Linked DNA regions of Rattus norvegicus. The protein of the gene in region 1 purifies or fractionates together with the protein of each later gene. This does not show direct contact. Links are inferred from orthologs where the notes say so. Each region holds a gene or a part of one and is shown in the gene's direction. Other genes may lie near its edges.

Region 1 (3,812 bases):
CAGCTGTGGGGGACATGTTCTCGAGCCCCACCACCATTGCTTCCACATGCTTTTCTTAGCTGGGGGCCGGGGCAAGCCAAGGATTAAACTCAGCAGCAACAGGATGTGTATCTCCCATCCTTCTTCCTCTGTGGGCTGTTTGACCAGGCCAGTAGAGACAACCGTGACTATGACCTGAAGCCACGAGACTTTCCCATATATAGATCATGAAAATTCATGACTATTTAGACTCTGCCTATCCTGCAGCAGTTCAGGACTGGAGAGTATTTGAGTGGCAGGGGTGCGGAACCCACAGACTTGTCTGTGTGGTTGGGGAAGGATGCATTTGCCTGAGCTCTTTCATGGGTCTGAGCAGAGCTTCCTGATACACTGCAGACTGCCCTGAAAAAAAAATCTACTGTTCGACTGCAGCCTTCCACTGGGTCCTTGCTGGCCCTCTAGTTTTGATAGGAGGAGTCTCCTTCCTCCTTCATATGGAAGGTTTGTGTCCTCCTCAACTAGTCGGCAGAGCTGAGGGCCTCCTCTGCACATGTTTGGAAAACGGACAGAGACTCAGTAGATGACTCCTTTCAAATACTATGGTGTCTGGGGATAGGAAGTTGCCCATGCCATTCTTATTCCCACAGTGTGCATCCCACCCTGCAGCCATTCCACATTTTAATAAGTTTTAGGGTTTGGCTATTCATCCTTTAATTTGTTACAGTTGTGGGACCGTACGTCAAGAAGATCCTCTGTGAAGAACTTGGTGCCCCCGCAAACTCAGCTGTGAACTGTGTTCCCCTGGAGGATTTTGGAGGCCACCACCCTGACCCCAACCTCACCTACGCTGCTGACCTGGTGGAAACCATGAAGTCAGGAGAGCATGATTTCGGGGCTGCCTTTGATGGTGATGGGGTGTGTATAGGTACATTTAAATGGTTTCTCATGCAAGCTGGGCCTTGCAGACGCAGGGGGAAAATGGACAGTTTCTACCAGGCCATTGGAGCCTGCTGAGTAGCTCTCAAGAGCCCTTTGTTACACAGGAGGCCAGGGCCAAATGATTAAAAGACCCTCTTGAGCAGAAACAAAAGGCTTTGAAATATAACCAGTGCATTGGATTTCAGGCACTCGGATTTGCCGAGTGGGGGTGTAGGTCCCAGTTAGGATTTAATGACTATACTCCAGAAGCTGCAGGAGTTCTAGATACTGGCCCTAAGGTAGGTCTCAGCCAGGCCGATTGGTCATTTAATCTCTACAGAAGGTTCATCTTATAACATACCCGTGCATTTCATCTAATAACATACCCATGCATTTGTTAATACCAGCTGGATAGTGAAACTGTTTATAGCCAATGTAATGAGTACGTTAAGAGAGTCAACGTTCTGTTCTTTCCCTAAAATGAAAATTTCTCCTTACATTGGTAACCGTGTGACAACAAAGGAGATTGTGTAAGGTGCACATCCCTGTGTGTCACGGACAGTAAATGCTCTGTTTATTATGAGTTTTTATTTTTGCTGCTTCACCAGCTAGAAGCAACTGCTTCCTGAAAATTAATATTCCCTACATCAAGACTTAGGAGAACTGAAGGGGCTCAGAGCAGATGCTGTGTCACCAGGGATCTTCCGATGGAGTGCAGGATGTGCTGCCGTTTCCCCTCGAGTCTCAGGCGCTCGAGTGGCAGCACAGGAGGCACCTTGGAAGCGGCGAGGGTGGCGGCCTTTTTTTGGGGGGGGGTCCGGTAGCAATTGGAGGGAACCATGATTTAGAAGTCCTTCCTTGAAGAAGTCTGCCTTTGTTCCTCAGAGGATGCCCAGTAGACCTGTCAAACTGCATAAACAGCCAACATTTCCTCTCTTGTACATCCTTTCCCCTCCTCTGGGAGAGACATGATTGGTTCCAGAGTTTGGAGAGGTCTAGGAGGTTAAAGTTAGCGGCCCCAGGAGGGAGAACAGAGGGCTCAGCTCAAAGGCGGTTTGTGCTTGCATTTTAATTGAAACCAGTTTTAACTCTTGGGCACGGAGGTACCTTTGGACCCACAGTGTTACACAAAACCACCAAAAAAATCCCGTGTTTAAAGCCCAGTGTGAGTGTAGGACCCAGGTTGAATTTTGGAAAACTCCACAGATTATTGTCTCTCTTGTTTGCTGTCTGATTAAAAGGTCTTACATTGAACCTTTTTTCTTCCCCAGGATAGGAACATGATTCTGGGCAAGCACGGGTTCTTTGTGAACCCTTCTGACTCTGTGGCTGTCATCGCCGCCAACATCTTCAGCATTCCGTATTTCCAGCAGACTGGGGTCCGTGGCTTTGCCCGCAGCATGCCCACAAGTGGTGCTCTGGACCGGTAGGTCTCCATTCTTGGGCCCACCTGTCTCCCATCACACTGTTCTTCATTATGCCAGCACCGTGCCTGGAGCATGAGTCCTCCGCTTCCAGGATAAGCCTGTGGCTGCAGTCTTTCTTGAGTGAGGTATTTACAGGGTTAGCTCTCTTCTAAGGCCCATCAGCATCCTGCATTCCTCCAGCCTGGTCCTCGCCACACTGTGGTCTGTCAGGCTATCTGTCTGATGGCTCCACAGCTAGGCTGTCACCTCTACAGAGAAAGTACTGTCCTTTTTTTCACCATCTTAATTCTGCGTGGCAGTGTTCCCAAATAGGATGCACACAGTAAGTAAACGAACGCTAGAGATAAATGAATGGTACTTTCTTTGTAGTCAAGATGTTATTCTTGATCTATGCAGGGTCCCTTTTGTTGAGCAGTGTGCACACACCATGATTAAAAAAGTATTTTGAGGGCCCTGGAGAGATGGCTCAGCAGTTAAGAAGAACACTATTCTTCCAGAGGACCAGGGTTCGATCCCTAGCACCTCCATGGTGGCTCATAACCATATATAATTTCAGTCTCCTCTTCTGGCCTCTGAGAGCACTGCACACATGTGGCATATAGGTATATGCAGTCAAAACAGCCAAACACATGAAATGCATCTTTAAAGAGTCATTTAAAGTGACTTCAGACTTTAATCAGAACTGATTCCTCTTGCAGGCTTAAATGCAGTGATGCCTCATTTGTCCAAACACTAAAGCAGAAAGTTCAATAGGGAAAATACATGCCCTTGCATGGATCTTGCAACAGAAGATCCGTGGCAGTAAACAGTATCAGAATTTCTTACACGTTTGTTCTCTTGGGCATTTTTTCATTTATAAAAGGAGACTTGTGAGGCCCATGGAAAATGATTAAAAGTGAAAGGTCTAAGTAACAAACAGGGGATGCTTTAGAACATATCAGGACCTCAGGGATCTTCTGCTGAGTTAACAGTGAGGAGTGAATGAGTAAAAGGCCATGGGTGTGGGAAGGGAAGAGTGTATTGATTCAGGTACTTACAAGACTGGCTAGGCTTAAGGAGGGTCCCTTGGCCAGGACAGTAGATATTTTACATATTTGATTAAGTCATTCAATTCTTATTAAATGCTGTCAATAACCCCACTGTATTAGTGCATGTCCAAGGTCAAGAAGGCTGATTAAATTCAGCCAGCTAGGGAGCAGCTACGTCAGGGTAGCTGGATAATGAAACTATTCAGAGTTAATATAATAGTGTGCTAAGAGGATTAGCTTTTTATTCTTTCCCTAAAATGAAGATTTTGTATATAAATTTCTCCTTACATTGGTAACCGTGTGAAAACAAGGGAGATTGTCTAAGGTCCACATCCCCCTGTGTCACAGACAGTAAATGCTCTGTTTATTATGATGAGTTTTAGTTTTGTTGCTTTACCAGCTAAAAGCAGCTGCTTCCTGAAAATTAATCTCTCCTACATCAAAGATTAAGAAAATTTAA
Region 2 (3,912 bases), about 56 Mb from region 1:
CTAGGTACAAGTAATTCTGGCAAGTTCAAGGCCATCTTCTGCTATATTAGTGGGTACCCCAAATGGCCCAGTTGACAACTGTCAACACTGTGTATATTATATACTGGAGTCCTCGTGGGTCTCCATAAAATCAGTGAAGGGTCCACTGTGTTGCCCTTGGGGCCCATCCAGACCAGAGAGCAAGTCACTGAACAGCCTTGGGACTGAAATGAGGCTGCAGAACTCATGGGCAGGCCCCGGGACCCTGAGCAAGCCCTAAACTGTTTTCAGGACCTGCATCACTTGCCGTGAAGTCTGGGCTGGCCTTGAACTTGCAATCCTGCCTCTACATCCTGAATGCTGGGTTATAAGCATAGTCACCATGCCTGGCTCAGTCTCTATTATAAGCACAGTACACATGTCATTGCTCAGCAAGCAGAGGCAAGTACCACTACAATCCCCATTGTACAGATGAGGAAACTGAGGCACACAAAGTTTAATAATTGCACACCATGGTGAAATGAGCATTTAGCCCCAGGCAGCTGAGTACTCCCACCCTCGGGCTAAGCAGCCCCGTTCAGTAGTGAAAACAACCTTCAATGGAAATGTTATCCCCATTATGTGCCTGAAGAAATAGGGGCGGGAGTGCAGATTAGGGCTCGGATGTCATCTCATGGTCAAATAGTTCGAAAGGGTTAGAGCCAAGATCCAGACTCAGTCCCATCTACCTGCAAACCTTGGACTTACCCATGACCCAGCATACCTGGTCCCTGACTCGCTCAGGAACTGTTTCCAGACCGTCAGCAGGTTAAAATATCATCACAATCCAGGGAATCATCCTAAGTGTTAAAGCTATAATGTCGGGATTCAGACCCTCTTGCTTAGCCTCCTGAGAGCACGCAGGTCAGGCTTGGCTTAGAATTCTGTGTGTTTAACCAGAAGCCTCTGTCTGGGATAGTTTGGCTAAGATAGCCCTCACAGGGCTATCAGGGCTTTCTCCTTTCCTCACTCTGACAGCATAGTCAGAGACATATCCATAGCCGCTCACACAGGTGCCCTCTTCAGTATGCCTTTCACTCCAGGCTCTTAGGGATGCTTGACAGTCTCGAGACCTTGTCACTCTTGAAAGCACACACACCCAAGAAGGCTCTTGAAGCCCTACACTCAACCCACACAAATAAAGGGCCTCTTTCCCCGGACACCCAAATCTGCAGAGCGCCAGCCCCAGCCACACTGGATGGATTAGGGTCCGGACTCGGCCCAGCCCCCAGCGCTGGCCCCGCCCCCAACGCCGGCCCCGCCCACACTTCCGTCGCCTTTTGCTAGGCTAGGTTGGTTAATGTTTGCAGCTGCGGGTCTTGTGAAACCCGCGCGACTCATGAAGGTGTTCGTCACTGGCCCTTTGCCGGCCCAGGGCAGGGCTGCGCTCGCCCAGGCCACAGAGTAAGCGCCCGCGTCGGCGTGGGGTCTGCAGCTGAGCCCCTGGCACGCTGTCCAGTCCACCCAACCTCAGACACCCCTGCAGCCGCGCTGGGTAGATCGTGAGTCTCCAGACACACGGCTGGGGCTTCCGGAGCTGTCCCAGGACTGGGGGCTACCTTCCAAGAGCCGGGCGCCTGGCAGGCAGGCTAAGTGGAGCCAGGATCGGGGAGGGTGGCGCTGGCGCTTGGGGGCTTTGCTCAGGAGTTGCCAGCTGTGTCCTCAAGGGGCTGGCTTGGAGTTTGGGGCCGCCTTAGAGAAAATTCTCCGGGTGGCGGCTTGCTCCTGGCTCCAGGATATTGGTCTCCAGCCTTCAGTGAAGTGAGATTGCCTAAGAGGCAAGGTTCAGGCCGTGAATTTTACCCTCTGAGATTAGCTGGCAGGCAGGAGTGTTTAGGGACTATGGCAGCCATTGGCTTGCCTCCTTGGATACTGGATGGGGCCGTTTGCGTTTGATGATTGTGCTCTGAATCTTTGAATGATTGTTTATTGAATCTTATCTGGAGCTGTGAACACAGACTTTCAGTCCTTCCAACACTGTGAAGTCAGCTTTAGAAGTTCTCTATCACCGACTTGAGAACACAGGGCCCCAGGGTCACTGAGCTCCAGGCGGCAGACCTGGCCTTTATGCTCAGTCCTTTCCCACTGCCGGTTTAGCCACTTTGTCTTGACAGCTTTGCATTACGGTGCCAGTTTGGGTGGAGGTGAGAGCACTCAGCAGTCAGTTTTTGTTTGCTTGTTTGTTTGTTTGTTTTCTGTTTTTCAAGACAGGATTTCTCTGTGTTGCACCCTTGCCTGTCCTGAAACTTGCTTTTTGACCAGGCTGCCCTCGAACTTACAGAGATAGGTCTGCCACTGCCTTTAGAGTGCTGGGATTAAATTCTGATGGTTTGGGGAATGTGATTTGTTTTGAAGATTTTCTAGCACAATACAGTTTTTCCTAAGGACTTGTTTTGTTGGTACTTTTGGTCCTGAGGAGCTGAGACGAATGGACCTGGGGACTTGCCAGCCACTGTCCAGTGTCTCCTGTGTACACACACCAGGACCGCTCTGGATTCAGTGGAAGGGTTTGGAGGAGCACCTCACACTTTGGGCTGCTAAGGAAGCACACTCAAGTGCTCCCATGGCCAGGGGAGCCTTCAGCTCTTGTCAACTTTCCCCACTTTGGTAGCCCTTCAGCCCCTCCTCCAGCTACACTCCAGACAGTTCTGAGCCTCCCCACGAGTGACCTTAACTCTGGCTAGCCTAAGGCCATAGCACGTGGAAGCCCATGTTTGCCAGCCATGCACACTGTAGGACCCTCTACATTCTTTGAGTGGCTTCCCTTTCCTTCAGCTGTGAGGTAGAGCAGTGGAATTCGGATGATCCCATCCCCAGCAAGGATCTGGAGCAAGGCGTGGCGGGGGCCTATGGCTTGCTCTGCCGCCTCAGTGACCGCGTGGACAAGAAACTTCTGGATGCTGCGGGTATGTGCTGAGTCGGCCTGAGCCAACGTTCTGAGGGGGGTCGTGCCGGGTGAGCACACCAGCCTGCTGTAACTGGCCTTTGAGCTTGTCTGTAGTGTTTTCCCTGTCTTCTAAGGGCGCCCCCAGCAGTAGCTCCAGTTGACATATGTTGTCCCCGATCTGGTTTGTAAGATCCTGGGAGGCTCCAAGAGGGCAAAGACCATGTGATACCTGGGTGGGAGTAGAGGTTGGAGGGTGGAGAAGGGAGGGTATCCTGGGCTCTGAACCTCTCTGCTGTGCCACGGCCTTGCTTTGTGACCTTGAGATCTCTCTGGGCCTGTGTGCTGCAGGACAGGGGGCCCAGCACTGTCTGTGCTGAGCACTGATAGGTACCCAGGATGGGTGCGCACAGCAGTGGCCCCAGGTCTCATTCCTGGGTAGAGTGAACATCGTCCTGTAAGTTGTACTGTGTCAGTTTAAGGAACACTTCAGACCCTAGGCTGCCAGATTCGGTGCAGAACCACTCTCACCCTGGCCTTAACCAGACAGATACTTAGTGGAGGAGAGCACAGGATACAGTCACACCCCAGCCACCTCAGCACTTCAAGTGTCGGTGGGGAGAGGCTTTTGGTGTGGCTAAAGGGGACCCACAACCACTGGTGGGTGAGAGTTAAGAGCCCTGAAAAGGCGTGAAGAATGTTCAGCAACTGGGACAGAACTCTACCTGAGCTCCTATAGTCAGTGGCAAAGTAGATCAACTTAATACTAGGGACAGGGATAGCAGCTTCCTCCCCTCATTTAAGAAATGATAAGTCGGTATTCCTAAGACCAACCCCAGAACGTGGCTTTGGGTTCCTCGAGGACAGACATGTGTTTTCTGCACAACAGGAGCCAACCTCAGAGTCATCAGCACCCTGTCTGTGGGGGTTGACCACTTGGCTTTAGATGAGATCAAGAAACGGTGAGTACAGCTGGGACTCTGGACAGGGAGGGCCTGCCTTGGGGAGGC

The links.
Region 2: the proteins of Pgm1 (region 1) and Grhpr fractionate together in Homo sapiens (co-fractionation; 3 studies listed by BioGRID). This does not show direct contact. The link is inferred for Rattus norvegicus from reciprocal best matches to the Homo sapiens genes PGM1 and GRHPR.

The regions. Positions count from the first base shown.
Region 1 is NC_086023.1:119,745,034-119,748,845, forward strand, and holds part of Pgm1 (phosphoglucomutase-1), read left to right. Parts: intron 1-703; coding exon 704-894; intron 895-2,168; coding exon 2,169-2,323; intron 2,324-3,812. UniProt on the Homo sapiens protein: Catalyzes the reversible isomerization of alpha-D-glucose 1-phosphate to alpha-D-glucose 6-phosphate. The mechanism proceeds via the intermediate compound alpha-D-glucose 1,6-bisphosphate.
Region 2 is NC_086023.1:64,028,575-64,032,486, forward strand, and holds the start of Grhpr (glyoxylate reductase/hydroxypyruvate reductase), read left to right. Parts: upstream 1-1,281; 5' UTR 1,282-1,318; coding exon 1,319-1,422; exon of another isoform or gene 1,423-1,602; intron 1,603-2,793; coding exon 2,794-2,924; intron 2,925-3,791; coding exon 3,792-3,864; intron 3,865-3,912. UniProt on the Homo sapiens protein: Enzyme with hydroxy-pyruvate reductase, glyoxylate reductase and D-glycerate dehydrogenase enzymatic activities. Reduces hydroxypyruvate to D-glycerate, glyoxylate to glycolate, oxidizes D-glycerate to hydroxypyruvate.